Struthio camelus: one gene and its partner. The protein of the gene in region 1 binds, or shares a complex with, the protein of each later gene. Links are inferred from orthologs where the notes say so. Each region holds a gene or a part of one and is shown in the gene's direction. Other genes may lie near its edges. The genes, in order: ADGRG1 and CD81.

What was found.
Region 2: ADGRG1 (region 1) and CD81 share a complex: the UniProt entries of both Homo sapiens proteins name them as parts of the GPCR-tetraspanin complex. The link is inferred for Struthio camelus from reciprocal best matches to the Homo sapiens genes ADGRG1 and CD81.

What each region holds. Positions count from the first base shown.
Region 1 is NC_090951.1:30,115,640-30,130,524, forward strand, and holds the start of ADGRG1 (adhesion G-protein coupled receptor G1), read left to right. Parts: upstream 1-6,760; 5' UTR 6,761-7,095; coding exon 7,096-7,344; intron 7,345-8,855; exon of another isoform or gene 8,856-8,936; coding exon of another isoform or gene 8,937-8,951; intron 8,952-11,182; coding exon 11,183-11,270; intron 11,271-11,857; coding exon 11,858-12,283; intron 12,284-12,852; coding exon 12,853-12,976; intron 12,977-13,233; coding exon 13,234-13,381; intron 13,382-14,024; coding exon 14,025-14,153; intron 14,154-14,885. UniProt on the Homo sapiens protein: Adhesion G-protein coupled receptor (aGPCR) for steroid hormone 17alpha-hydroxypregnenolone (17-OH), which is involved in cell adhesion and cell-cell interactions.
Region 2 is NC_090946.1:18,542,931-18,558,365, forward strand, and holds the start of CD81 (CD81 antigen), read left to right. Parts: upstream 1-9,394; 5' UTR 9,395-9,535; coding exon 9,536-9,549; intron 9,550-10,969; coding exon 10,970-11,084; intron 11,085-15,435. Other genes in the region: TSPAN32 (tetraspanin-32), read left to right, coding at 1-73, 1,629-1,721, 3,275-3,358, 6,007-6,098, 6,256-6,298. UniProt on the Homo sapiens protein: Structural component of specialized membrane microdomains known as tetraspanin-enriched microdomains (TERMs), which act as platforms for receptor clustering and signaling.

The sequences.
Region 1 (14,885 bases):
AGCCGAGCCGCGCCGCACCGCTCCGTCCGCGCCGAGCCGCGCCGCACCGTCCGAGCCGAGCCGAGCCGAGCCGAGCTGAGCCGAGCTGAGCCGCACCGCTCCGTCCGAGCTGAGCCGCTCCGAGCCGAGCCGCGCCGCTCCGTCCGGTCCGAGCCGACCCGCGCCGCGCCGCTCCGAGCCAAGCGCAGCCGAGCCGCACCGCTCCGTCTGAGCCGAGCCGCGCCGAGCCGAGCCGCACCGCTCCGACCCGAACCGCTCCAAGCCAAGCGCAGCCGAGCCGCACCGCTCCGAGCCGCTCCGAGCCGCGTCGCTCCCGTCCGCCGCGTGCGAGGGCTCCGCTCCGCGCCGCTCCGCGCCGCCCCGGGGCAGCGGGCACAGCCCGGCCCCGGCTCAGGTACCCGAGGCGCGGCGAGCGGCACGGAGGGGAAGGGGTCTGGGGCCGGCGGAGCCGGAGGGCTGGGGCTGGGAGAGGTTTGGGGAGCCCGGAGGCTGGCGAGAGGCTGCGAAGCAGAAGCGATGGGGTGTTGCGAGGCATGGGGCACAGCGGGGAGGGGGTCGGAAGCTGGGGGGACTGGGGAGCCGCAGCGCTGGGGCAGCGAGAGGCGTCGGGAGAGAGGAGGGCTCGGCAGGGAGCGGGAGGGATGGGGCAGCTGCAGGGCGCATCAGGTGCGCTTACTTGCGGAGATCCCAGCGGCCACGGAGGCGGGGTGCTCTCTGACACCCCCTTCCTGGGAATACAGGGAGGGTGTGCTGCGGGGTCTCTGGCTCTCCGTGCGTTTGGGGTGTGGGCAGGGAGCCGGCATGTGTCTGCAGAGGGTGCAGGTGCTGGCGGTGAGCACGCCTGTCCCCGACTGTCCCTGCGGGGCCCTGATTCCCGCAGCAGGGAGGGCAGTGCTGGGCAGCCGGTATCCCCAGGGGCCTGAGCAGTGGCGCTCCGCAGCCACGGCCAACACGACCGTGGGAATCCGTCACCCACTGGGACTGTTGCCGCTGGGAAGCACCCCGGGGTGACGGTTGCATGGTGGGCAGGGAGCAGAGAGCCCTGTCCAGCCTGCCTGCACAGAGCTAATGGGTGCTAGCAGGGACAGATGGGAGGCTTTGGGGTGTACCGTGGTCCAGGCTTGTGACAGGACATTTCCCATCGCGCACCGGAGCTGGGTGTGTGGCACGTCTGTGTCCTGGCAGAGTCAGAGAGGGGTCTCCCCATTGGACTGCACTAGTCGTGTCTGAGGTGCAACTTCTGCGTTGAAGCCTCTGTTCCTGTGTGCCAGCTAGCCCGGCCCTACAGGCCATTCGTCTCCTTGCTAAATTGGGCTCTCGCTTGCCTGCCCCAGCACCCGTCTCCTCTGCCCCTGGAGCCAGGCTGAATTCCAAGGCTGGGAAGTTGTGAATCCCCCCTGTGCCTTGCCAGGGCCAGCTGCTCCCGGCTGCTCCCTCGAGCACAGCTGAGCACTGCAAAGCACCCCACCACAGCGCAGCGCGTGTGGCCACCACTTCCCACCTCAACCAGCCCTGAGGGAACCACCAGTGCACTTGGCTCTTCCTTCCTCGCAGAGGGCGCAGCGTCCCTGCAGGTTGACTGACGTGTCTCAACAGGGTGATTTCTCTCCCCAAAAGTGCCTGCTGGGGGATGCCTCATGAAAAATTTCAATTTGCTTCTGCTAGTTCTGGCACACCGTCGGGGTCTGCAGGGCTCAGAGCTGATTCAGAGCGCTCACCATCTCTGAGCTGGCTGAACTACCCCCTTGAAGCCAGAGAGACCAGCAGAAACCCAGAGAGACCAGCCAGAGAATTGGAATTAAGTCTCCTGGAATAACCCCTTGGCAGCAAGTCTGAATCACAGTTGAGCAGGGAACATAGCCAGAGCTCATTTCATGGTCTGAGGCCTTCAGTACCCTGCTTCAAACTCCACCAGGACCTGGCACCCAGAGGCGGTTTTGGAGAATGAGCCTGGGAGAGAGAGGCTGGGCCTTGAGCAATCCTTGAAGTGCAGTCCTGATCCTGGGCACCGCAGGTTTTGCTGTGCCTCCACGGCATTTGCAGCTCCCGCATGAATCAGACCGAGGCCTAAAAATGTTGCATAGTTGATTGCCATCCAGCTCTTAATCCTGCAGGCCAGGGGCTGTTATTCGCAGAGCAACAGGTTTGCAAGCAACTGTGTGCTGCTGGGATGGGGGACTCTGGGGCTGGCAGTGCCTGCACCTTTTGGTAGTGCCAGCGGGACATGGCTCCACTGGGCTGGGAGACAGAAACTTTCACAGGCTGTGGCTGATGTGGTACCAGCTGGGCAGCAGCGCAGCTTGCTGGTGCCTGTTTTTCAGGAGGGCTTGGACCCGCCAACTCTTTTTCCATCAGCTCCCCAACAGCTGCGATTTGGCAGGGACCTGGAGGGGATTTGGCCCCCAGGGCCTCCTACCTGGCTCCTCAAACCCAACAGGAGGGAAACGTGGAGCAGGGATGACAAGGCATGTGCAGGAGCGGGCATTCATCGAGGGCACACACTGACCCTCTCCAGCCTGGGTGGTAGTATTTAATGGAGGTATTAATCACGGACAGACTCCTCCAGCAAGTACTCCTCAAGCTAGTAAAAAGTCCTGGAGCTGGAGGAAACTTGCAGAAGGACCAGGGAGATGTGGCACATAAAACCCTGGTGGGGCCGGTTACTCCAGCTCGAGCTCTTTGCTGCTTGGTGCTGCGCAGGTTTTGCTGCTCCAGGAGCTTTGCTTTTGCGGAGACGCTGCAGCCTTCCTCTGGTTGTGCTTGACCTTTCTGCAGTGAGGAAAGCCCAGCAGGCCTGGTTTAACCTAGCCCCTGTATACCTTGCAAGGCTCCGGTTTTGCTGCCATTCTCAAAGATTCCAGGGCCAAAAATGAAAAGCCTCGGCACCCGATCCGGAGCAGTTCTGGGCTGCTCTGCTTTGCACTACCCTAAATCTCCCTTCACTGGCACCCACGAGACTGGGAAGCGATGCAGAGCTGCTTCGTGCAGACGGGGAAGAGACCTGGAGGAACTACCCTCACTTTGCTGTGACCTACAGCTCCCCAGACCTGAATGGCACATTCAGGCAGCATCTGGCGCAGGTAAGGAGGAACTAGGTCTCTAGCTGGTCCCATCATGCCTGCTCTGGTGACTGCTGTCACCTGACAGTCTCAGGCACAGACCTGCAGCCCACGTGTGGGATGTAGGATGAACGTGCTGAGCACTCTGGTGGTTGACATTAACCCCCCTTTCCTCTGCATGGCATGATCCCATGGGAAGCAGAGCAGCGATGACAGTTTGCGCCACTGCTTCACAGCCATCTGGGATAGGAAGCTTTGGAAGCTGCAGAAATTGGTGTTTTGGATGGGGAGAAGGTGCAAGCCGACACGTAGGAGGAGGCCAAGTGGTTTCTCATGACAAAGGATGGCGGTTCCAACAACAGCCCAGCGTGAAGCAGACACAGGCAGCTTCGACGGGTGCTACCTTGTGGCTGGGACCCATCTTGTAAAGGCCAGGCCAGGGCAGTGAGTGCTGGAAAACACCGATTTGGGATGTCCTTCCTGGACCACCCCACCATTGCAGTCAGCACCTGGCCAAGGGTAGGCTGAAGATGTCCAGGAGGACCTGCCCCATGCATGGATCTGATCTGGGCCACCGCTGGATGAAACCCTTGGCAGATCTGTTGTACTCGCAGCTGCTGCTGGTTGTCCAGGATGGAGGAGAACAGAGTGTTTTCCTTGACCGTGTTGGTGCCTCAAGGAAAGAGGCAGCTCTGGCTGTCTTAGTCACATTCAAGCAACTCCTTGCTTTGGTCTGTGGCACAAAGACCCCCAAAGAGTATCCCTGTCTCCCCATGCCCGTGGGATGCCAGCGGGGCCCTGATCTCAAGGTTGCAGGAGGGACTATGCACACCTGTGTTGTGCAATGTGGGAGGTTTTTGAGAAGAGGCAGGGAGGAGATGCCTCCAGTTTTGTGTTAGGCAACCTGCAGCCCTGGGAGGTTTCTTGCTTCTTGGCATTCTCCTCCAAAAGTTGGGGGATGCTGCGTGATCCATCCAGTTGTAGCCGAATGGACCCACTCATCCCAGAGCGGGGAAAAGCTTTGTTGCCCTTTGGCTCGGAGCTGCTGGTTGTGACCAGGGCCAAAGGTGGGCAATGGGTGCACGCTCTACGTGGCGGCCTAGCAGAACGACTGCACGTATAGGCCAAGGTCAGTACCGCAGTGCCGCACTTTGCAGGTTGCTGGGGGAGCTCCCGTGTCTTAACCCCAGCCCCAACCAGCTGATTCCCATTTCACAGATGGGATTCGGAAACCCCCAAACTTTACATAACTTGCCTTGTGGCCCAGCCCTGCCACCCCTCCTGCATCAATAGTGCAGCACTTGGGAGATGCAAGCTGCTCCTCTGAGACTGCAGCAAGCCTGAAATCGTTGCAAACATACCTGCCCCTTTGGAGACCATTTATAGCCCTTGGCAAAGCCACGGGCTTTGCATGCTGCTGGTTGAGGTGCCCTGTGTTCCCCTTTTGCTACAGAAGAATCGAGGTAGCACTGGATGGTTTAGTTAGCTGAGGTATTTGTGGCCATGGTGTGTTTTAGGAAATGGAGGTTTTGTAATTTTGAAGATTTGAGATACAGCCTTAAGTGAAGCTGCTGCCTCCAGAGTCTCAGATACCAGCCGTCCATTTGTGCCGTCTTCCCCCGGCATCCTCCCCATCAGCTGTCGGATGAGATTCCCTCACGTCTTTCTCCGGAGATGTTTACTAGCAGCCCATGAAGGACAGAAGATCTGGAAAGAACCTAGGCTGGACCCGTGGGAGTTTTTATCAGGTCTTTAATTTTTTTTCGGCCCTGTCTGCAAAATTCAACCTGTGCCCGCTGAAGCGAAGTGCTGTGTGCAGCCCCCAGCCGAGCCCCGTGCCAGGATGCGGGGGCAAACCTGAGCTGGCTGCCAACCGAAACACCACATTGCAGCCCGCGGCAGACGCCTGGCACCGCCGACCTTTCAGTACAGCCACCGGTTCAATGCTGCGGGCGTCTGCAAACGCGCCAGGGTCCAGAGCTCAGCGGTCGAGGCGGAGGGTGAGCGCGTGCCTGACGCCCACCGGTGACGGGAAGGGCTCGAATACCGATATGGTGACTAATGTGCAGGCTGGCCCCTGTTTGCACGGCTTCCTTGCAGACGTGTAACCGCGAGCCAAGGACAAAGGCACCCTGTGAAGGCCAGCGCGGGAGGGCACGGGTGGGTGACGGAGCCCGGGGCACTCCTGAGCATCCCCTCCTGGCGGAGGGATGCCTGCTCCCTCTTGCAGCTTCAACCCCGGCCCGAAAGCGCTTCGCGGGCGCTTGTGTCTGTGGTTGCCGGTCGGGTGAAGCTCTTCTGCACGGCGTCTCCAGCAGCCTGCTGTGGCCTGGGCCAACTCGCTGCCTTTTCTTTGCCTTGGTTTCCCCATCCGCATCCTGAGGTCTGGCCTCTGCTCCCCCTGATAACAGCCGCGGGCGAAAAGCCAGGTGCTTGCTAATGTCTCGGAGATGGGAGAATCGAGGCACAGAGCGCTGGCGTATTTTCCTAACAAGCCTTGAAGCGAAAGCGAGAGAAAAGCCCCGGGATCTCTGCGTTTCCGGTGTTTGTTTAAGATATGAGAACATCTTCCCTTCTCCTTGGAAAAAAGATCACATGAGAAGCCCACATGCCACCTCCCAGCGTTCAAATACCTGGCGCTAAGTGACCCAGACAGCAATCAGATTTCTCAGTAGTAATAAAAACTGCCTCCCCCGCCCCCACTTCCCTCCAGGTTTAGAGGACATAGTTTGACATTCCTAGGCTTTTTTTCCAAAGGCCAGAACATTTATTTGCTGGCAAGCTGTGTAACCACCTGCCTCCTGGAGCTGGGGCTCGGGGGAAACACAGCCCCTTGCAGCCACCGCGAGGGGCCGGATTTGATGGGCCGCACTGCTGATCCCCGGCCCCTCGGGTCAGCTCGTGCCCCCAGGGCCCTCCTTGCGCTCTGGTTTACGCGGGCCAAAGCAGGAACTTCTCCTCCAGGCGCTATTGTTCTCGGAGGAGCCCGGCCGGCCGGCGGCCAGTGAGGCGGGAGTGGGCGCAAGGCGCGGGAAGCCCTTTCTGCTCCAGAGCAGGAAGGATGCAAGGTAGGGCCGGTGGCCCGAGAGGCCAGCAGGGTGGAAGGGGCTGGCATGGGGGAGTGCATTTGTTGAAAAACAGGAGGCTGCAGATTTCTAAGAAAGCTCCCGAAAGAGGGGCCAGGGACCCTAGCCAGCCCAGGGCAGGCGAGGCAGAGGATGGACTGGCCCAAGGAAGGCTCCCGAGGAGTGTTAGGGTGCCAGGCTTGCTTGGGCATCGCGTGGAGCTGCATAGGGAAAAATCAGGGTACGGCAGCATGGCATCCCCCTGGGTGCCCTCGGATGGGAAGCAAACCGTGCTGGGTGCTCGCTCAAGGACCCAGCACGTAACAGCCCCACGGGGATGGCGGTGGCTGGGGCACAGCCTCCCCCGGGGCACCCAGCTCCGGGCAGCCCCAGCCACTGCCGCGGGCTGCAGCCCTGCCTTTTGTGGGCACAGCTGGGAGCTGAGTTGTCCCATTGAAAAGCCACTTCAGGGGATTTTATCTCAGCTATTGTTTGGCTCAGGAAACAGCAATCAACGGAGCATTGCGTTGCATCTGGGCGAGCAGGGCCAGTTGGTTCAGAGGGGAAATACCAGCTGCCCCTCCATGGGGATTTCTGGTCTTGGGCGAGCTCGGGTAGGCGCAGCTCTGCCGACCCCACACCTCAGGGCCCTGTGCTTCGTGTCCCCAGCGCGTCAGCTCTCCGCCGTGGTGTGTGCATGCCCATACACCGGGTTTTGCATCCACGGGCTTGTTGCTCCCCGCTTTAATGTCAGTGTTGCATTGGCGGGGGTTGCTTTTAAGCAGCCCAGGTGTTTTCCGTTGCTCACTGTGTGGTTATCAGCCCTTGTGCATCTCCTTGTAGGGCATCCTTCGGATCAGGTTAGCAGACAGCATAACCATGTGGCTGGGTGTGTTTGCTTTCTGATCCTAACCCCCTTCCCTGCCGTGTTTGTTTGCACAGAGCCAGCTTTATTTTGCCATCCTACCTCCATGCTCCCGTGGTGGCAGGCGGGTTTGCAAACCCATGGCCCCATCTTCCAGGGGCGGCAAATTGCTCCCAGGAGCAGACGGGAGCAGGGGCTGCCCAGGGCTGGGCTGCCACTGACTGGCTTTGGCAGGCAATGGGTGGGTGCAGGATGTGGCCACGGAGCTGGCTGGCCAGCGAAACTTCCTCCTCCACTCGCGAAGGCGGCTGTAGCAGGGGAGCTCGAGGACGAGGCAGTTCACCTTGTGGCGGTGGTAAGCTGCTTTTGAACAATACTGACACTAATCGAGGTCGTGAGCAAACAGCGCGATGGCAGCAGGCGAGGAGGGCTGCTGCATTTCCCAGCCTTCGTTAGGAGAAATGGGCTGGAGCTAAACCCCTCTTCCCTTAGCCTTGCTGCTAGGGCATCAAGTAACCAGCTAAGGATGCTGCGTTTCCAAGCAAGCAGTTTTCCCTTGGTCTTCCCTACCGACAAGCCTCAGATGCCTTTGAAAGCTCCCCAATCACAAATGAGGCTTTTTTCTTTGTCTTTCGCATGCAGTGCGTCTGTTGTTCCTCCCTCTTTGCTGAAATCGCGCTGCTGGTGGGGCAAAAATTTCTCAGCTGTGCGGCAAATGAAGCCTTTGCAGGCAATGCTTGCCAGAGCCTGGCCAACCTGCTTGGCTGCGAGCTTCCCCGATGCTCATTTGCTGCCAGACGATTGCCATTCTTTTATTTAAATGGATAATAGTGATTCCTGCCCCCGGGAGCGGAACAGCCCTGACAGGCACCAAATTCATCAGCCTCCGCCAGCTGGACAGGTTCATCGGGGATGATTTTGAGAGCAATGCTGGAGCAGGACGCAGCCCCGGCGGCGGCGGCAGGACCAGGCGCTGGCTTGGCTTTGGGCATTAATAAGCATCGCGGGGTGCAGGGGCGCCCTGTTCAGCCTGGCCGGCCCATCCAGCCCTTGAGTCATACTTTTCCACTCTCAGGAGGCTCAGTTTGAGGCTCTCACAGGTTGCATTATACTGTTTGCTGCTGCTGAGGTCCTGATCCACTCAGTTTTTCAGATGTTGGCTGTTTTCAGTCAAGACTTTCCACCCAGGATTTGTGAAAAAGTGCTTTTTCCTGGGTGCTGGTGTGGTCAAGACTAACACGAGTGATTTTTCTCATCAGGCAGCTTTCTTCAAAGCGTTGCTAACCAGCCAGGCTTGATGCTGGGGCTCACGGGCCGTGGCCTAGCCCCACTCGGCCACCAGCTATTGCTGTGTCGAGGGAGGGTGAAAGCATGGCAAGGAAAAGGCGAGACGTTTCTAGAGATGGCAGATGGCGTAGCTGAGGCAGAGATGTGGTTGACACGGTGGCCTTGGGGATGGGTGAAGTGAGATGGGAGGGCCTGAGGGTAAGAAACGCGTGGTTAGCTGGGACGTGTGGGTCCCTTAGTGCCTTTGGGCTCCCAGCGCTGCGTGAAGTTCTGGGGTGGAGCGACACCACCCGCCCAGGTGGTCCCGTCTCCTTGCTAGTGCGGTGAGGACGCCGCGGAGCCAGGCGCCTGGCCTTGTCACTGAGGTCCCCCTATGCCCACTCTGCCCCACAGCCTCCTGCTCCCTGGGGCTGCCCTGCAGCCAGCGGCTCCTGCACCTGCACGTGCATGGTACCCCGTGCCGTCCCCTCCCGTGCCGTCCCCTCCTGGTGCCCGGACCCTTCCAGGCATCCGCTTTGCACCTCTTACGCAGGGGTGGGAGGAACCCGCTTGTCACAGACTTCATCTGTGCTTTTGTAGGTGCCTGCACGGTTTGGGAGCTTCGGAGAAGGGGGACTTGTGTGAGAGAGGGGGAGACGAGTGGAGAGAGGTGGCTGGATCATGGAGAAAAGAGAGGTGAGGCAAAAAAGAAGAGACTGAGAGGACATTGCCAGGCCGGTTAGAGAAGGGTGCCGGGGAGCTTGCCAGGGGCGACGGACAGATGTGGTTAATTCGGGGCATCGGCTCTGGCTCCCTGGGGCGGCAGGCAGAGCAGCGCTGCCGGGGTGGCTCTGCTCCCCGCAGCCCTCGGCCTGCCGCCGCTGCTCTGCGGGGAGACCATGGCTCTGTGCAAGTGCCCCACAGCGGCGGGTGCAGCTAGGCTGGGGGCAGAAGGGGGGTTTTGGCAGCTGCGCTTGCTGTGTTGGCATCACTGAGCCTGCGTGCAAGATGTGGGGTGGCGCTGGGGCAGAAGGGCTTATTCAAGGCCATGCGGACTAACGGCAGGGCAGGGAGAGCCCGGGAGAGCCGATTTCCGCATGGCTGGGATGACTTTGGCCGTAAGAATGAACATCAGGTCTGTCCCCTGTCACCGCCAGTGGCATTAGGGGATGCTATTTAGGGAGACCACATGTGCCTGGCTGATTTCTGCCGAGCGTTTCCCTCGTACTCCCCCACGCCCAGCATTGCTGGACGGGCAATGTTCGTGGGTGCATCCTTTCCGGATCTGTTTATGGACCTGCTATCCATGAATGTGCCTGGTCCCTTTTTGGCCCTCGCCTCCACCGCCTCCAGGGATTGCTGGAATTCCCTGTCTGCATGCAGAAGTCCTTATTTTATTTGGTTTAAACCCATCTCGTACTACTTTTGTCTTAGGTTCCCATTCCTGAGACCTTTCCTGCAACCCTTTGGCGACTTAGTGTCTTTAATAACATAGTGCAGAAGCTTGTTAGAGAATTTCTGCTGGTCCAAGGGGATCCGGTGCTGCGGCACGAGCCCAGCAGGGTGGCGGGGAGGAGCGCCCAGGACCGCAGCCTGGCTGGCAGCCGGGATCGCTGCTCTCAGATCCGCTGCTTGGACAGCTTCTGCCCCTCTTCCTGGCTCCCCATCCCCATGCGCAAGGGACACAGGGCCAGCATCGCAGCGCTGCGGGCAGAGGCAGGGCTGACTCAGACGGACGCCGCTGCAAAAGCTGCGCTGAGACTGATCGTGGTTTTGGGCCGTGAGCAGGGAGCGGAGGAAGGCTGCTTTCCTCAGAAGAGGGCAAAGCCCCATCCGCTCCAGGTGGTCAGAGCTGGGTGAGGCTGAGCTGGGAAAGAGCTGCTCCGTGGGCGCCGAGGCTCCTGCTGCGAGACGGGGCTGCATCAGAGGACAAGCACGAGTGAAGGAGCCGTCAGCCCCGTGCTCTGGTGTCACATGCCGCACGGAGCAGTAGCCCTGGGCTACAGGGTGCAGGACATGTGGCTCTGGGTAGGCGCTGCGGTTCTGCATAGTGTAGGTTGCTTTTTATTTTCTTTTTTAAAGGCTGCAAAGGGGCCATTCCCGCAGGCCATCCGGTTCACGTAATGCAGGCACAGGGCTCCCCCTTCCTTGGGACTTGTGTCCAGGCAGCTCATTTCACCTGCGGTTCAGGCCAGTCCTGGCAGTGATCAGCAGGCGGTAATGTCCGAGGTGAACCGAGCTGGCCTGAGCCATGTTCTCAGCAGCTGTGCTTTTATGCTGCAGGAGCAGTTGGTTGACTTTGCAAACAGGGGACCCAGAGTGGGTTATTCCTCTGGACCTTGCTCCATCTTCATCTCTGCTGGCCTGGCTGCTCAGGATTTATCTCTCAGTGCAGCCATTTTTGCTGGCCACAAAGTGGCTGGCAACATGACCAGCCCCTCAGCTAATCTCTAGGAGCTGAAAGCACCAGTGAGAATAAATCTAGGCCTGGCAAAGTAGGAAACTGCTGTTTCCTTCTGTTTCTATCGCCTGTGATAACAAGCCAGCAAATGAACCGAGAGCTGAAGCAGCAAGAGGAAGAGGGATCCCTTCCTGCGCTGAATTGTTAGTGGCTGGGGTGCATGCAGGGCGCAGTGAGGCACCATCTCTGTGCTAAGGGCACAAGGACTGGGCTGCCTGCCTCTCTCGCGCCTGGAGTCCTTCCAGCCGTGCTGGGTGTCCTGGTATCCATGGCTCCTCCTGATGGCAATGGCACCAGGGAGCCCCTTCCAGGGTTATCTCCTAAAGGAGAGCCAGACGCTCCTGCTTTCTCACTTGGGTAGCAGCCAGGCTTTGCTCTCCGTCCCCTGACCCTGCACTGCGGCTGCAGGCAACGCTCCTGGCATCCCATATTACTCACGTGGCTCCTTTTCTTTGCGACCTTCTAGGTGCCGCTTTCTCCTTGGAGGCACCCAAAGCAGAGAGAGCCATCCATGATGCAACTCTTCCTTCTGCTCCTTCTCTTCCTGCTCCCAGGTAGGCTGCCTCAAGCCATGTCCTGCCCCAGGCTGGCCAGATTTGGGCTGCTGGAAGTAATTGGCAGCCCCAAAATGAGAGGGCTGAGGGGTACTTAGAGGTATTTGCAACATGGTTTCTAGAAATGTCTCCTGGCCTTGTTTGAAAGCTTGAGTTCCTCTCTTGCTCCTGCTCCATTGGGGTCTCCAAGGCAGAGACCTGGAAGTGGTCTGATCCTTTCTAGAGACCCCATGGAGATGGAGAACCCCTTTGCTTTATTGGACTCTGCCAGCCCTGGGGATCTGCATATGGGAGAGGCTGGGGCCTAGAGAGAGAGGGGAGGTCCTACGTATCAAGGAGCCTCGGCTCACCAGTGAAACCTCCGAGTGTAACTGTGGGCAATTCACGAAGCTGGCTTAAGTCACTCTTTCAGCCAAGGATGGGGTCACGCATGTTTGAGGGAGAGCCTAGGCTAACAGGGTGGCTGAGTCGTAACGCACATGATTGCTGGCTGATGTGGCAGCAGGTGATTTGCCGGGGGGGTGGCCGTCCCTGACCCCGGAGCCCTCAGGCTGAGGTGAATGTTTCCTGGCATTTGTGCAATGCAGGGATGGAGGAGAGCAGCCGCCAAGAAGAGGACTTCCGCTTCTGCGGTGAACGAAACCAAACTGAGAACAGCTCTGTCATCTACGAGCACAGCCCTGCCGACATCTCCATTGAGAACACAGCCCAGGCACTGATAATAAAAGGGCCCTTTTTGCCAAACCAGAGAAACTCTTATTACAAGTACAGCTTGCCTTTGACTTTAGGCAGGTACCGCTTCTGTGTCTACTGGTTCAAGCCCAACAGGACCCTCAAGCTTGCATATGGAAAGCAGAACTTTCTCCTGGGAAAAGACCTGTCTGATAATATCATCTGGGGCAAAGAAAATCAGAAGACTGAAAAGAACAGCAGCTTTATCTTCAGCGCGTCCTATATTTTCAAGGGCCAGAAGAACACCTCCCTTGACAGCGCATCTCATTACTTCTTCCCTGGTAAAGGCAATTCGGTGCTATTTTGATGAAGGAAGGGTTGATTTCATCCCCAACCCTCTCTATCACATGTGCTCTGCTGAAGAGCAGAGCAACTATGTTGTACTGGTAATCTGCTGTAGTACAGTGGTCTAAGGACACTGCTCAGGGTTGATGAAGTAGTTTTGAGAAGTAGTTGAGAAGTAGTTTTGCTTGAAGCAGCCTAGAGGCTGCCCCTGATACCCATGTTTCCCTGGGTAAGCAGGTTCCTAAACATGAAGGCAGAGGGTTGCTGAGATTTTCAGAAGTGCCTTGGCCTTCTAAAATCCAGGGAACTCGAGTACCTTGCAAAGGTCTCTGAGGCTCTGGCTGCCCAAGGTGACCAGGAGAAGCCCTCTGGGTCCCGGTCTCTGGTTGCTCTTCCAGGTAGAAATGCTGAGGGCCACACTGAAACCTTCTGCTTTCTTCTTCCTGTGGTCCACTAGGGCTCCACCCCCTGGGGAGTCAGCCCACTGCCCAAGGGTGGCTCGGGGTAGGGAGGAAGTTGGTTCTGCCTGCTTTTCCCACAGTGTTTCCTTTTCTGTGCCCATCAGTCCCTCCAGAAAACATGCCTGTCTGGGAGCAAGATGTGGAAAAGGAGCTAACCGACTTAGATAGCCTCATGGGGCAGCCCCCTGTGGCAGCTGCAGGAGTCCCAGCACACAGGACCCTTCGCAAGTGAGTTCCTGGCTTGAGCCATTCCCAAGTCCTCCTCATTATGCTTATGGCCTCTCACCAGCCAGCTCGATGCAGCCCCGTAGGGCCTTGGTAAAGGCCAGGCAATGACTTTATTAAGGCAGGGTGTGTTTATTGAGCCTGCCCATGGTGTCGGAGCATTTGCATGTCTCTCTTTCCTGGCTGGACGATGGAGGCTTTCAGAGCAGAGCTTGTGCCTGCTGTCTTCCACTCACTCCGCGCCCCGCTTTCCCCAACAGCAAACTGCAGGAATTTGAGAAGAAGCTGGCCAAGGTGGAGTTTGAAGGGCAGAACCGGACCTTCGGGCAGGCAGCCATGCATGCGACTGTCCTGAAGATCGAACTTGGTCGAGCTCCTCAGGACGTCGCCTTTGCTTCCCGGAGAGAGGTGAATTCAGGCTGGGAGCTGAGCAGCAGAGCGTGCAAGGATGAAAGCACGGCTGTAGAGCTGGGGAGGAGAGTCCTGCCAGCCGAGAGCTCCTTGGGACGAGGAGCGGTGGCCCCAACCCCCGCAACCCACCGTAGTCATTGCAGGAGCTTTGACAGAGGCACTTGCCAGAGCCCTCCTCATTCTTGGCCCTTTTTGGGAGGCAGCGAGGGGCTTCAGTGATGCTCCGACCTTCTGACTTGTAATCTCTGGGAGACACCTCGCTGTCCCCTCCCAGAGCCTTAGTGGGAAGGGGTTAGCAGAAGAGAGCAGCAGAAAGGGGCAGGGAAGTGTCCCCTCTTCTCAAGCAGCCAGGAAGGGCTGCAGCTGAGGCAGGAGGAAGGCCCAAATCAGGGGACAGGACTGCAGTCCGAGGGTCCCTTCTCCTTCACTCCGCAGCCTCTAATATGGACTGTGCGGGGGGCCAGGAGCCCCAGTCAGGCACTGCTCAGCTCCCTGGCTGGTGCAAGGCAGTGGGAGCTCCCTGGCCATGCTATGCTGGCCGATGCCCTAGCTCCTGTGCAGCCTGCCCTGGCAATCTCAGTCCTCTGACATCCTCACACACCCTCCCAACCTGTCTTCTCTGATGAGTTTCTTGTTGCAGGAGGGCAGAGAGGTCCATGGGTTTGCGGTGGACCTGCCAAGAAGCCTGTTCATGAAGGTGAAGGGCAGGGAAGAGATGGTGGAGCACAGGGTGCTCCTCCTGGACATCAACAGCCAGACCATGTTCCAGGTAATGGCTGGGTATGGCATGGTGGGGTGCCTCTGCTGTGTGAGGAGGGGCTGGTTGTACAGGGCAGCACAGATCCAGCTGGAGCAGGAACTGCTATTACAAATAAGTGCAGAGCATCCTTCTCCCATGCTCTTTGCTAGCCTTGCTTGGCCACTCTTGGCAAAGCTGCACCCTGTAACATCACCTCCAGTTCAGCCAGGCTTTGCCTTTACCTCAGCTCCTCCTGCAGCCCTCTGCAATCCTCAGCCAGCCCCAAACAGGTTAAGCCTGTGGCACCCAGACCAGGTGTGCAGCCACTCACTCGGAGAAGGTGCTGCAAAGATGCTGAGCTGAACACAAGCACAGGGCACTGTTGGGCCAGACTGTTTGAAATAAAACTGCTGATTGGGATGTGCTTGACTGCAGCCAATCCCTAAGCCACGGAGAAACAGTGCAGGGAAAAGGAGGCACGGTGCCGGTGCTCCTGCCAGGGTGGCATTCATCTCGCTTTGCTTTATAGGTGACAGAAATGACCTAGCATGTGTGGGGAGAGGGTCTGTGGTGTATTTTAAACGTCTGCCCATGGCTGAGATAGATGGTCACAATGTAGAAGTGCTTTTGCCTCTCCTGGAACTGGAAGGGGCGAGCAGGAGTGCATGTGGACCTCAGTCCCACCACATGAGCCACTGATCCAGGAGAGAGGCCTGGGCAGTGGGAATGTGAGGTAGAGATATGACAGGGAAAGAGGCACGG
Region 2 (15,435 bases), on another chromosome or scaffold:
CTTTGTGTATGAGGAGGCGAGGAAGAATGCCTCCAGCTTCAGGAGACAGGAACTGACTGCCATCCACGAAACAGTAAGTTGTCTTAGCTTTGGAGTTTGGAGCTTATTTGCTCTGGAGTATCTTTCTGTTGGCTTCAGTAGGTTGCGGTTCAAGCCCGTGTTCTGTTTCACAAATGCTGCAATGCTGTTTTCTCCTTGGGAGCAGGAGACCCCAGCTTGCTATCAAGTCTGCTTTTCCCTTTCTAAACTTCTTTTCCCAGGTTAGACCAAGAGGATTATCAACAGCAGGCGAGGATCATCTATTTGTGTGTCGCTTTGGTATAAGCTCTTCAAAGCTTTTGCACCGTAGCTGATATTGTCTGTCTCAGCAGGCCCTTTGCCATGCTGCGTTGCTCTGTATCTGTGGTGTGATAAAGTGGACATACACATCTCTGATTTCCCCAGTCAGGTGTAGGAAAAGGGTGAAGTTGAAATTCTACATGGTCCAGCAGAAATATTCAGACTTAATGATCTCTGTTTACCTTTGAGCATATTGCTGATGAGGACCAGAGAATACATGATTTTTGCAATGTTTTGCTGCTAGCAAGCTCCTGAGAACGATAAACTGAGGATGTTGTCTTGTAGAGGGAAGTTCTCCATAGTGCAGTAGGTGGGTCAGGGTGATGGCCCAGAGCACAGGGAGGAAGTTTCCCCTCAAAGATTGCAAGATGAAATGGCACGAGATGAGCGAGGATGTCTCCTGTGGCGAAAGACTCCTGAGTCCTCCACAGACAGCTGAGTAACGGAAATGTCCTCTCCCTGCACAGCAGGGCCTGTTTGGGTAGTGAGCTCATGTCATGCAGCAGGACTGGAAGGAAAGGTCAGATTTGCTCACTTGTTTCCAGACTCCTCCCACACAAATCCCTTTTTTTTTTTTCCTCTCTCTGTCTCTGTTTTCTTAATTCAATGCAATAAGTGCTTTCCAAAGCTGCTTTCATCTGTGCTTTTCAAAATGCAGTTAAGAGCAAATATTTTTCATTCTAATGACATCAGTGGCCTCTCAGAGATACAGCCAGGAGTGTTGGTGCTTCTTGTGGGGAAATTGAGGCCTGGGGTTATTAGTACACCTCAGTCCTCCTTTGGAAAGGAGAACTAGGCAGGGTACCCAGCTTCACCAGTTGCTTGCTTTAGCCCCTTTAATAGATGGATAAGCAGTCCTCCACTTTTTTCCCTTCCTTTTCTTTTTTTTCTCTTCCACCTCTCCATTAGAGCTACAGGCAGGCCAGCTCACCCCAAAAGCACGGCTCTAAGAAGCCAGCTTCACAGTGGGTGTTGCTGGACTCCCCCTACCCCAGCCCACAGCAAGTGCTGGAAATAGGAGCTTCTGCATTGCTGGGGTTTTTTTTTTTAGAGCTCACCCGGGAGAGGTGCTGAGTCCTGACCATTCAACTCTTCTGAATCCAACTTCTATTGCTCTGATTGAGAGTCGGGTACTTGCATTATTTGCTCTGTAGAGCCTAGGTTTTTTTTTTGTTTGTTTGTTTTAAATCCTGGCAGAAGTGAAGGGTCTCCTGTCACTGACGGCTGGCTACAGGCTGGGAAGGGAAGTGCTCAGACCATCACCTAACCAAGGGGTTGCTCTCTTTCAGTTCCTGTGCTGTGGGAAGCACTCTCCCTTCGGAGAGACGGGAGACATTGAACGTGAGACGTGCCCACTAGGCCATGCCGAGACAGCAGAAGAGGTAGGGAGAAAGTCAGTCCTTCCTTCTTACTTTCTGCACGTGCAGAGATTATGTGATATCACAGGCATGTGTCTGATCTCAAAAACCTGCTGGACTTTCCATTTGATACTAATTTCTGAGACTGAAAAAGGTATTCCCCTAACAGTGAAATGCTGGAGGCGTATATGATGATTGAAACCCCTTTTCCAAGGGTATTGAATAGGTACTTGAAGCAAAAAGAGAAACTGATAAATAAGGATTATTATGTCGAGCAGTAGCTTCAAGTGCATTTAATTCCTCTTTTTTGCAGTATCCCAGTAAAGTGACGGAGAAGCCACCAGTATTCTCTGCATTGAAGTTATAACGTAGACTTTATACAACAGATTTGCTCAGAATATGGCTCTTTCATTGGAGTAGCTAAATGAATTGAAGTAGTTAAAGCTGCTGGCTTCAACATGTATAGTCTAGGAAAAACAAAACCGTGTTGCTACAGATATACAAAAACATCCTTGTTATGCAAAGGTGTCAAGCGCTAATGTTTAAGCACATGTCAGCCTGCAGGGTAGCATTTCAAAACACTGTCTCCTGGAAAACAAATTATTGAAACAGGGTAGAATTCAGATCAAATAGCAGGAAGGAAGAGAAAAACAAACTTGGCTGCTGTGCATGTAACTCGGTTCACTACTTCTAATGGTTTGAACTTCCTCCAGTTACTAGCTGGGGGAGGTAAATGTGAAGATGCATTTTGCAGCCTGGGAAACCACAGGATTTGGTGGTTGCAACACACTTACTCTTTGGCATTCATGGTGTAGGGCCGCAAATGCTCTTACCCAGCTCAGCAAAATGCTTGATCAAGGCCATACTTTTACATTTTTGAATGGTTCTCTTGACTTAATGTTTGTCTTGGAAGCCCCACTGGACTTCAGGGGGGCCGCTAGCAGCTTAAAACTAATACCCGTTAATGTTCACAACAACCTGCAAAATTGAGCTAGCTTTGAAGAACATATGTTGCATCGTATTGTGTTGCTCTTCCATGTTTTTGTTTCACTCCTTCCATTTTCCACTAGAAGAAATGTTTGTGCATGAGCATATTTACCTGTGCATGTGCTTCCTGCCCTCAACACAGTCTGAAATGCACCATACTAAAAAAAAGGCATATTTTAGCAATGGAAGATATACTATAGACTTTTAGCTTCCTAAGCTGCAGAGCAAAGGAGTGAAGATGTCCCTCCAGTCTGCAAATGGACCAGCCCAATTCTGCAAGACCCCTCTTGCCTCTGTTTCTGTCCCACTTCATAGCCATGTCATGGTACCAAAAGTCGCATGACGCAGGGGATGATACGGAGGAGGGTGCTGCTTGTTGTTGCCTTGCTCCTCAACCAACAGTGAAAAATACCTCGCTCCCTTTTCTGTCCTCCGAACAAATGTCGTCTCTGTGATAGAGAGTTCTGGAGAGAGATTAGGGGCCTGAAAGTGCTTTTTTTTCTTGAGGTCACATTAAGCACAGTCAGGCAGTGGAGGATGAATTCCCCGTGATGCTGCTGTTCCCTCACAGAGCGTCTCTCTCATCTCAGGATTGCCTCCAAGAGATCCGGGACTTCCTGAAGAAGCACATGGACTTTGTCTCTGCGCTCCTGGCTGTCACCATCTGTTTCATGGTAGCTATGCTTATTCTTTGCTTTTCTAGCCCAGAGAGGCAGACTGCAGGCAGGAGAGTCATGTGCTAAATTAGCCTCAGGAGCCTAGAATTTGGGTGTGTGACTCGGATGGTTTCAGAGCACGGAGTTCAGTGGCAGAGAAATAAACAGTGGTGGACTTGGTCATGGAAATTAGGAAAAAGTCATTGCCTGTCTTGTGGCAGCTGGAGGGATTTTTCTGCAGAAATAGACTCTTTGGACTCTTTCTGCCAAAACTAGGCATGACGGATGGGAAGGGAGAGCAGCAAGGGAGCGGGTTGCAGCAGCATTTGAATTTCATTCATGTGGGTTTTGTCCTGCAAGCAAGGGAGGCCGTGTCACTTGACACAGATGCTTGTGGATCAGATAAAAAGTCAGTAGCAATTGTGGAAAAGGAGATGCAGAAAAGCCCAGGCTTCCAGGAAACGCGGTGCCTCCTCTTACCTAACGCAAACAGGCTGCCTCCAAGCTAAGACTGAAGCCTCTCCACGCAGCAGTAGCTCCAAGGCCTGGAAAGCTAATGAGCACTAACAGTGGAGAGCTGCACAGAAAGGAAAGGTCCCTTCCTATTAATGAATGTCAACGAACCCAGCACAGATGTCTCTTAGGCAGCTGGTGGGTGAAGTATGGGCTTGTAAGGAGCAGGCTACAAGGAAGAGCAGAGCATGTTGTCTTGGCTCCCAGGCAATACCTTTGATGTAGGATCTTGCAGAGGGTTATTTTCAGAGGCTAGCCCAGGTAGAAAGGGAATCACTCATTCTTTACTGAATTTGCTTATTTCTGGGGGGAGTGAGGGTGGAAAGGGCAATAGGAGCATTTACTTTAATGCAGAAGTCAGCGAGAGAGCTCCATGTGGGCAGTTTGTTCAAGAGCTGGAGAGCAACACTCAAAACAAGTCGCCTTTTTTTTTTTATGTCTACCTGCTACTTGGCAGATGTGTATCACATTTTAATTACCTGTCTACAAGGGCCCTATGTGTGTAGTAAAACATGCCAGAAAAGAATACTACCCAGGAGACTTGTGTTTTAAACGTGAAGGTAGGGGTTTTTTTTCCTGCTGTAGTATCTCTGGGCCAAATTTTTCTGACTAAATGTGTATTTAGAGGGTGTCTCTTTTCCTTCTAATTACTTCTGTCTATCTTGGCATAGCATGCAGGGTAGCTAAGAGTGGTAGCTTTACCCTTAATCCTGCAGGCTAATGCTCCCAAAAGGTTGTCCTAACTCTATAAATGCTGTGTGAAAGCAACGGAAAGCCTTGAGCCAATGATTCCCATCTGCTAAGTCCTTCACCAAACAGCGCTTTGTCTTTTATCCCGTTCCCATTAGAAAATGTTGGCAGGAATAACGGGTCTGAGTTGCTCCTCTCGAGTTGCTATGTCTGAAGATAGAGGTGGGTATCTGCAGAGGAATCACTGTGTTTAAACATAGCATAAGAGTAGCATGGCTGATCTATGGAGCTCAGATAGGTGAGAAGACTCGGATGAATGGAAACTTGTATTTCTTTTATACTGCTAGTAGTAAATGAGGAAAACTATGAGGCAATGCTATATGTAGTAGTCTGATCTAGCATATTTCTACTTACACAGAGTTATGTACATACACTAAAATTCAATAAAGCCTCAATACTAAAGACTTAGATGCATCTGAGCTGTTTCTCAGAAAAATCTTAGAGGCATACCTGATGCATAATGCGAAGTCACCCATGAATATCTGGTGTTGCTTTCTAATTTTCCTTGGGTATAGGAGAAATATCACTTCCACTGTGTTCAAACAAAAGTGGGAGCGTATTTTTTTCACAGCTTGATGCTATAGCCAGATAACGTGACTGTCTTTGAAGTACACATTGGAGGAAATCTCACCGAAACATTTACCATTGTGATGGCAGGATGCGAAGGAAGCGTGTGATGACTGGTATGGTTGTTCTGATGTCACTGTCCTTCCAGCTAACAATGAGCCGTTAACAGATGTGCCCAAATCATGCTGCACTCAAAGGCACTTTCACATTAAGGCAAACTTTTAAAAAGAGCGCGGCGTTACAGCCCTCACCGCGCTTCCCGCAGCAGCCTTACCTTTGATAAGTTGCCTGTGTAAATTCCCATATGGCATCAGACACTGCTGTGCAATGTGATATACCAGTCAGCAAATCAGGATATTGCAATACAAAGGAAGCGTACTGTCTTGGTGATGCTTCAGAATCGTGCACGTGCATGTTTCTTTGTAGCCCCAAACAATATATGAGATTCCCCTCCCTCCGTTTTATGTTTACAAAAGGCTATTATAAGATATATGTTTGTTTGCACAGAGGAATGTTTTGCGGCAGGAATTTGAAATCTGAATTTCCTGGCTTCTTCTCATTTTTGGTATTTTTAGGCCTGGGTTTGAGCCGTACTGTGCTAATTCTAATCAGATGCTTTAACCGCATGCTTTTTCTTTCTGTAATGCTGGAGTTATGGTGTGCGCCATTTTGTTGAAAAACAGCTCTTCTAACAAAAGTGTGACATTTTCATACATAACAAGTTCAGAAATGCCAAGTGGACTAACAGGCAATATTTATTATCTTTTTTTCAAGCAGCTGAAGCATCATAATCAGTTCAGTATTTAACTGTTTCCCTCTCATTTATTTGCTTTTAGGTTTATGGAATGATTCTGACTTCATTCCTCTGGTTCTCCATCCACTTCAGTAACAACCTGGACCGAAAAGGCAAATACACCCTGCGAGAAAGGTAGAAATTTGTTGACCTGACTTTCCCACTAGGTAGAGCCAGCTCTTGGCATAGGAAGCTGCCTGAAGTTGTCTGCAAAATCACCCGAGAAGGTGCTGCTTGGGGACAGGAGGCGGGACGGGTCGCCGTTGTTCAAGTTGCCTTTTTCCCTTTCCAGCACTACTAGCTGCTGTGCATTGCAAGCTGATCACTCAGGATGACGCTTTATGGAGTAGCAGTACCACGTCTTCTCGGAAAACGGATGAGGACTGAGGGACGCGCACACCTGGGCTCAGGGATGCAGGTTGCCTCGCTGGGAGCGTGGGAAGGACAGGTTGTAGCTCGGAAATCGGGACACAAACAGCTGCTTGAGGAGGAAAAAAAAGAAAAAAGCCTAGCAAGCCAAAATCACAGCCTAAACCAGGCTGCTTGATTCAGACTTCTCTTGCACTCTCATCTGAGCAATTGTCAGTTTCTCGTGACGCCAAAAGACGGAACGTTTCTAGGAAGATAGCTTTGGATCGTAGCCCAGGCCCTATCTTTTGTTGTCAGCAAGTATGTTTACACTAAGTGTGGCACTGCTAATAGGAAATGTGTTCTCCAACCTGGGCGCTCTTCATTATTGACTCTGAGCAGGTTTCTAATCATATATAAGTATCTAGGCATTGACGTGTTTTTTCCCCCCCCCCCCCCCAATTTCTTCCCTAATTTCAAATATTACCAGACTTAAGGAGCTCTTGCTAGAAGTTAGAATAAAAAAAAAGTAATGCATGAATTTTAAAACATACAACCAGAATACGGATGTATCCTTCTATCACTTCTCCTTTTTAATGCTATACACCATCATTTTTGATTCTTAGGATCAAAGCTCTCCTGGAGCTTGGTGTTGCATCAATTTTATACTGGTTTGTTCAACTTACTGCCTTAGTTCCATATTTATCTTCATTAACCTACCATGCTGTGAAATACAAAAGGACTTTGATATCACACATGGACAGGATTTGTGCTTAAAACGTATAAGAGAATGGGACTGATCTCCAGCCAGGTTAGCAATACAGTGTCCAACTCCACATCCTCATTACATCTTTTTATCAATAATAAGTTTAAATAGAAATTGGAAAAGTCTCAATCAACTGAAGGACTTAGCTTCTCAGTCTAGCTAATCTGATGGCTTCCTGTCATGCTTTGCCCTTCTTGCAGAGAGGCAGAGCCACTTCTGAACTGAAAACCATAGTTGCAATAGTCATAGTTTACAGCAGGGCTTTCAAACGGGAACTAAATGTATGTGAAATGGTGGCTGAAGTAACAGCAGCTTTCGGAAGCTCTCCTTCATTGCAGCTTTTACCCATGAACAATAGTAAGGGGGCAATCCTCTTTTGAAATAAATGAGGAAACCCCAATGCTGATGTTCAGGGCAACTTCTGGCCCTCAGGTGTGGACTGCTACACGTGTAAAAGCAGCAATACAGCCTACAGTACCTTCCCTAATCTGGTTAGTATTTCACCAAGGTTGCAAATATCTTGCATGGGGAAGAACTGCATTAAGGGAGAAAGGACTGTCGCTCCTAATCCTGCCCCCTTGGAACGAGCAGAGTTTCACCGCTGACTTTGCTGGAAGCAGGATCAAGTTCAACCTGCTCAGAAGTGTTACTCGGGCTACCTCCTGGCAGTCACCAACATGCCTCTGTCTAGCAGGGATTTAGTGATATGCTTACCCTAGCAGCTGCCCTTGCAAACATACCCACTTTCTAGCAGCAGGAAAAGATTCAGTTAGATATCTTATATCTTTGTCTCTGGAGAGTGATATGCTCAGTCTCCACTGTGAGCTCTAGCTGTTACTGTCAAGGCTAATGCTGCTGTTATTCCACAAGCCAGCTGGCAGCTCATGTGACTCATGGTGGTTTCAATAAAAGTGAATTTCTTGCAAAGGGCTGTCGTTCCTTCTCTTTTTCTGCAATGCACGAGGCTGTCTGGATTGCTCGGGCGTTTGAGTAACGGGCAGTTGTCAGTGATTCCCTCAGTGCTGGGAAGAGATGTTCCCCGCGCAGCTGGCACGCGCCTGTCGCAGAGGCATGCCTTCGCTGCGAGGACGGGGACGACTGCGTCGATCCCTCCGAGGAAGAGGAACCTGCCAGTTGGAGTAGCTCTCAGGCTGTTGTTTATCACAGCAACTGGCTAATGTGAGAGCAGTCCTGTCCCTCGCAAGGAATAATGCAAGCAGAGGCGGGGGGGGGAAAAAGCTTAAGGACGCGCTTAAGCAATGAAATAAGGAGTGGAGTATTTATATAAAAGGTATCTCTAAAGTTTTGCTTGGAAACTGGAAGAAAGGCTTTTGGTTTGGGGTTTTTTTGTTTAAGTTTTTAAACAGTGGATGTTCAGGTCTTATTCACCCCTTTTCCACCACGCTGTGGTGGCTGGAGGACTAATGAATTCTGCTATATCGAAACAAAAAAGAAAAAGGAGATTCAGCAAATAATAGACTGTATTTGATCAGTGTGGGTTACCTGCTTTAAACTTCATTAACTCTAAAGTCTAGTAGGAGAAAAGATATCCTTGTTAAAGCTTTAGCATTGTGATCAACAGCCACAGGTGTTCCTCTTTCCCACACCAAATTTTAATTTAAAGTGATGAGTATGGACAGGAGCAGCCTGTACATAATAAAGAAACAGGGAAGGGCTCAAATCCTCTTTTCCCCCCCTTTTACCTTGAGTCATTTGTAACCACCAGAACTGCATTTTAAAAAAAAAAAAGCAGGTAAGTTCTAGCACTTGCCATGTGTCTGTGTATATATATACAAATATGCTCACACGTTTTTACATGTATATTATTGTAAGATATATATGCACGTGTCTGTATGTAGAGCTGCAGGTTTCACACCTGTGCAGCGTGTTTTGCCGCAGAGGCAGCGAGGTCGAGAAGGTGACTTGTACCAGCCCTATTCACGGAGGGGCTGGCGTGCCTGGAGCGCGGCCGTTTCTTCCCTACTGCGGGAAACGGACTGGAAATGTGCACTTGCTTTGCCCACTGTGGCTGGAAGTTCCCTTCTTTCTAAGACACTGATAGCTGTCTGTGGGATTTTGATTTTTTTTTTTAAATGCACTTATTTGGGGGTGTGGGTGGGAAATCCTGTCCTAAATTTGTGCAAATTTTTTTTGGTTTAAAAAAAATAATTCAATCCAGTATAAACTAAAGACACTATGCTCTGTACATACGTGCTAGCTGTTTCATGATTGTTTTTATTCCTGTTTCACGTGTTTCTGAATACCCTGGAGCTCCTATGCAAGGAAAAGCATCTCTAATGAGCCCGTGACGGAGTAGCGCTCAGCAGGACGCTGTGTTTAGCCTGGTTCCCCAAGGGAAAGACGCTCGCCGCGAGATGGTCGTAGCTGCTGCTGGTGTGCCTGCGTTTGGGGAACCCGCCACCTCTGAGCTCGCTGGTCAGGATTTCCCACTGCAGCCATGGAAAGTGATTGGTGAGTAGAAAAAGGGCCCTTTGGGGGCCCTCTCCCCTACTGAAACACATGTGACTTTGTCGGTTGAGGTGGGGGCACCCCCGAAACCATGCAGCAAGCCACGCGAGGTGTTGCAGCAGACGGCACGGGTCAGCTGGCGAGGCTTGATGGTGGCAAAGTGTTTCTAGAAATTTTGCTCGCAGCTTATCGCAGAAAAGCGTAGCGTTATAATTTTCTTTTTTTAAAAAAAAAATCACGTATTAGATACTGGCTGCTCACGTAACAGCTGTAATCTTAATGCTGTGACCGGTGCTGGAAAAATGAAGGAGGAAGTTAAGGAAGGTGGTGATGCTATGCTTATGTGTTTCATGCCCCAAGAGATATAGTCGCTCCGAGAGCTCAGGAGGATGGACTAAGCCATTTTAAAACCAGCCAGAGACCAAACAGCAGTTACTTTAATTATTTTTAATAAAATAGCATTTTGACTTTGGACTCATTAAAAGCACGGAGTGTGTTTAAATGTTGTCGTTCAAAGCACTACGTGGCCCTGGCCAGAGGAGCTGAAGGCATTGCTGCAGCAGTGTTGGGGAGGTTCAGGTCCAAAAACAGCACCCAGGCTCTGCTGCTGCTGCCAAACGGCACCGCCTAGCAATACCGTGACAGAAGTCACGTGGCTGGGAAACGTCCAGCACTTTTCTACCTGCGCCAACATGAAAAAAATCATTGCCTGCTCTGTAGCCGGTGTGTTTTGCACCCACTAGTCCTTACTTCGCTACTCCCTGCGCGTGAGCTCCTGCGTAGCAAAAACAGAGCCCCAGTAGATAGATTTCATCCGAAAGCAAGCATGGACCTCCCCGGTGGGAACGCAAGGCTGGCAGCCGGGCTCGGAAACACCTGCAAACCCGCAAGAGGGGCACGGGGGAGGCCAAAGGTGCAAAGTCAAACAAAGTTGGGTTGCGAATTGGCTCCAGTGAATTGTCAGCGAAGCTGCAACAGTGGTCGATTAGTTCTGCTGAGGTCACCTGGGCGAGTGCCATTTGGGCTGTGAGCCGCGGTCTGCCCCGAGCGAGCGTGGAGGGAGCCGGGGCTCCTGGGGCGGACTCGCACGGGAGCTGCGGGCACGCGGCCCTTCTGCAACTTCCCTGACTCGAGTCCGGTACTGGAAAGACCCGAGGAGCTCGGTGCACCCCTGGAAAGCGCAGGTCAAGCAATTTGTTGAGCCTGTGGACAACTCCGTGGCAAGGAGAGCGGGGAGCTTTCAGCCTCCCCTTGAGCTGGCTTGGAGCTGAAAATGTTTTCCTCTTTCCAGCCCTGTTGGCTACATGTCTGTAGGAAACCATCTCCTGTGCAGCTAAAACTGTGTAAATTTGGAAACAGATTTTAAATCTTTTTTTGAAGAAAAGATTGACAGATTGTGATTTTTTTTTTTCCCTTAAACCAGGTGCAGAAACAACATATTTTCAAAACCAGCCTGTTATAACTTTCCTCTGGAAATTCAGCGCAAAGTAGATGTTCCACACAGGAAACTTCAGCCTGTGCCGCTGAAGATGCGCAAGGTAAAAAAACTACTTTGAAAGCACGGCCCTGTCGCGAGCACTCTCCGACTTTAATAAGAGGTGGTGTTGCTAGTCTCTTTTAGTAAAACGCTATGCGCTAGGATGAAAAGTCTTTTGTTTGTTTGTTCGTTTTTAATGTCTGACTCCTCTTCCGGGAGGATTAGCAACGGGTAGTGAGTATTAACCTCGTCCGTTGAGAGATGTTACGTCGGGTAGGATGGTAGGGGAAGGAGCAGGAGAAAGGAGGGGGAGCCGACGAGGAATGTTGGAGGCAGAGGCTGTTTTGGAAAAATCCACGTACTGCATGTTTTACAGCTTTAGGAAGTAGCTGCCAAACCCATGACTAGTTACAGGCCAGCGGATGAGGCCAGTCCCGACTGTGTTCTGGGTCGCTCCGCTCTCCGCCGCGCTTTCCCCCCTTCGCTCCCAGCACAAAGCCTGGAGGTAGCTCAGCTGGCCTGGGCTCTCCCAGCGTCATGGGGAAGAGCGCAGCCCCCTCGTGTCGACTGCTCGTCCCCTGCCCGGGACCACGAGCGCTCTGCAGAGCCAAGGTTAGACCTTGGGCCAGGAAACTCAGAAACGTTCAAAAATACCTAGTTTAAGAAGGAAGAACGGCCGCTTCCAGCCTTGTGGTGTCAATGCGGGCGTACGTTTAAATTCTGGGCTGCCTTTAGTCACCTGAAGGTCTCGGGGACGGTCGAGTAAATTAATGCTCTGAGGGAATCTGCGTAACTACCCCCACCAGGAGGGTTATCATGAGGAAAAGACCTTCTCTTTCTATGGCAGAGATACGGGGTTGTTGCTGAGCTCGCGTCAAGTTTGTACATCTTGGAAGAAATACCCTAAGCAGAGCCCTAAGCAGAGGTGACCACCTACAACTAATGTCCTCTTGTGTTCAAGGCACTGTTCTCTTAGAGCCGGGCAAGCAAAAGGGAAAGGTCCTTTCTTGCATCCTTGCTAGGAAGGAGAATATCCCAGCTTCACACTCCCAGGATTTAGCAATATCTGGGTGGCTGTGTGCCTTTACCGGTATCTGGTTGTGCTCGTGCCGCTTTGAGCAGCAAGCGCGTTAGTGGAAACGGCAAAGCCTTCGGAAGGACTCCCGCTTAATGGAAAATTGGTCCCGATATTGGGAATCCTGAAAGGGACAGGAGGGAAAGGAAGGTGCGATCCTGCCCTGCCGGCATATTTTGTGTTGCCCCTTTATTGTGGTTGTAAGTTCCTTGGGCAGAGATTGTGCCCAGCTGTGTTTTGCGTTGAACAAACTGGAATAAACCTGCGCGGTTGATATTTGCACTGACAACCTCATAGCTACGTACGGGATTAGCATCCTGCCCCTCCTGCTACTAGGAACGGCAAATCGTCTGTCTGGCACCTTCCCCGCCTCTGGGCTGACTCTCGCTTTAACCTTCCCTTAGGTTATTCACATTATTCCAAGGCAAAATCCCCCTCTCTCTCTCTCTTTAGCATAACTAAGAGCGCCTTTGTTTAACCTCTAAGTGCACCAGCTTGCTTGTGGACCTGCTCTTTTTCTTTTTAGCCGCGTGTTGTGTGTTACGTTAGCAATAAGCTATTCCCTTCTAATCTGCATTCACCTACTAATGAATTATACATTGATTATACAACAGCAGCTCTGTGGCCTTATTGGCGGGCTGGGCTGCTCCTTTCACACGGCAGAGCAAAGAATGAATCATCTGGCAAAAACGTAACTCGCCCCAGCTACAACTCGGCCTTTTCCGATGCGTTGAGAAAAACGAAGGTCGGCTTTCTGGTTAGAAAGCAGAAGCGCCCGAGTTCACCGGAGGGGAGTGTCCGCCCTGGGCTCGGAAACCGGCTTGGGAATCCCTGGAGTTTCCTCTGATCCTCCGATGTCCCCTGGTTTCCTCGCAGCCAACCTTTGCTTCTGAAGGCAGTTTTCCTACCTGTTTCAGAGGCTTCAGGAGGAGCCGGTGCTATTCCTCTTCAACATCCTCTCTCCCCTCCTCCTCCTCATTATATAACTCGATCCATCACCATAGATACGTTAATATAAATATTTAAATATGGCAAGGAGACAGGCTGCGCAGACGGGAACCGTTGGTTGAGTTTATTAGAAACAGAAACTTCAGGCACAGCTGCCGGTTTCTGCTTGCCTCGGTCCCCCCGCCCCAAAAGGCTGACAAAAAACCCACGAGCCCCTGTGCTAAGATGGTGCTTCAGCTGAATTTGCAGACTGGGGCAAGGGAACGTCCCAACCCGCCTGCCGAAGCGAAGGCGCCAGCCGCTCCCTCCGGAGCGTGGAAAGCAGATTTTGGAAGCATCTTTTCCTTAGATATGTGTATGAGACTTTTTTTTAATTCAAATGGAAACGTTCGCTGAGGAGGTAGCGACGCACACGCGTATGAAACGTTGCCTGCGTCAGCCCTCTGTTTCCCCTGCTGTAAGCAACGCCTCTGCTCCTCCACCCTCACCTCCGCCTGGCTGCTTGGGGGGTATCTGGGACAGCGTCGAGGTGGCGTTGCTGGACAGGTCGCCACCTGCAATGCCAAGGGCTGTTTTGATTTTTCTTTTCTCTTGGCTGTTTCTTCGTTGCTGCGTATACCAGTTTCTCAGGCTTCCCAGGGACGCCCAGCACGTGCTCGCTCTCTGCTGGGACTGGGGAGAGGAGGAAAGCGAGGAGGGGAAAAAACATCGTCTCCTCTCCCCTTACTTTTTTGCTTTTCTACTGTGGGAGCCAGCACAAATCAGAGCAGTGCCTGACCCTAAAACAGAGGCGAACGGGGAAAGGGAAAAGGCAGGACGCCCTCCGCAACAGGTAGCGGCGCTGCCCAGCTCCCCTAAGGAAGCACGGTGGACCGTCAGGCGAGGGCCCGCAGCAGGCACCGTCCTGCCGGGCGCGGAGAGGGGGTCGCTTTTGGAGGGGGGGCAGTGTTTCGGGCATGAGGAGCGTGGGCAAACTGCTTCTGCAGGTTGCAAAGCCTCCTACTGCCTGGCACCGGCCTTTGGGCACGCTCTGCTGCGGTCTTCTGCCGGCACCGTTGCCTGTTTGCTGGCCCGTTTGTTGCAAATTTAATTTTGTTGCGTGTCTGTGCAGCTTCGGTGCTGTTGTATTTTCTTTTTTTTCCCCCCTACGCTACTTGTTTGCCAGCGACCTTAAGCTACCTGGAACCACTAGAATATAATTAAACGCGTGGCCTCTCCTGAGGCCGTGTAGCTTTACCTTCTCGTTAACGTAGGCCGGTGTCCATGCCGTGCAGTTTGTCCCTAGCAATAATCTAAGGCCCTTTGTTCAGGTCCGTACCTTGAAAAGCAATATTGCATGTTGTTCTCTGACAAGGAAATTAGTATGTCATTTGGATCAACCAGCCTCCTGTAGGATGAATTTGTAAGTGTTTCAGTACAACCCCTCTTGATGCACCTCCAGAACGTCCTGCTTACTGATTTTTGATGGTGCAGTCGTTCTTCTTATTGTCATAGGTAAATTGGAAACCCAGGCTTTTTCTTTCATATTTTCCACTGAAAGTAAGATGCAGTGATTAAAAACTGGCTAGGATTTCACCTGCAAAATAACAGGTATTTTATTCTGGTGCTTTGTAATCAGATGTTTGGCGGTGGTATTTTCTGCGCTAGCCGGGAGGAGGATGGGAGAGAGGGAGGCTAACCGGCGGGATTGCCACGTGAAATGAAAACGTGCAACTGTAGCTCTGCATTGAATTAGGATCCCGTAAGCCCGGGCGGATGAGGCACTTCCCTCTGGCCTCTCAAATTGCCCAGCGGCACCGGGCAGGTCCTCAGTGTTACGCGTTTAGAGCCAGGCTTGATGATAATGGCTTTACACCCTTATAGCCAACTTTCCAAGTATGCTCATGAGAAGGGAGAGGAAACGGGCCTGTCCTCCCTGGGTGGTTTTGTGTTTTTCTTTTTGTTTTTAACCTGGAGCTGCTGGAAGGGCTGGAGAGCATCTGCCCTCTGCAAAGCAGGTACCCCAAAGCCACTGAGCCCTGGTGGCAAGGGACTTTGCTTTCGAAAAGCAGGACTGGGAGATAGTTCAGCTATATGTTTGTTTTAGCAGACCCTGGTGAGTCATATCCATAGATGTCAACTATGCCAAAACCCACAAGCACGACACTCGCTTTTATAAACAGCATAAAATAAAAAATAACAGCGGACCAGAGGAAAAACACTGCAAACATCTCTGGTCTCTGCTGCTTTACTCTGTTTAAAAAAGTAATTGCAAGAGCAAATTTAAATGGCTGCTCTTGGATTGGGTGTTTTTGGTTGTTATTTGCTTGTGTTTTACTTTTTAGACCCTGATTTAAGCTTCCCACAGTCTTTCAGTGGTGCGAGGCTTTGTAGATGGGTAGTTTCTCTC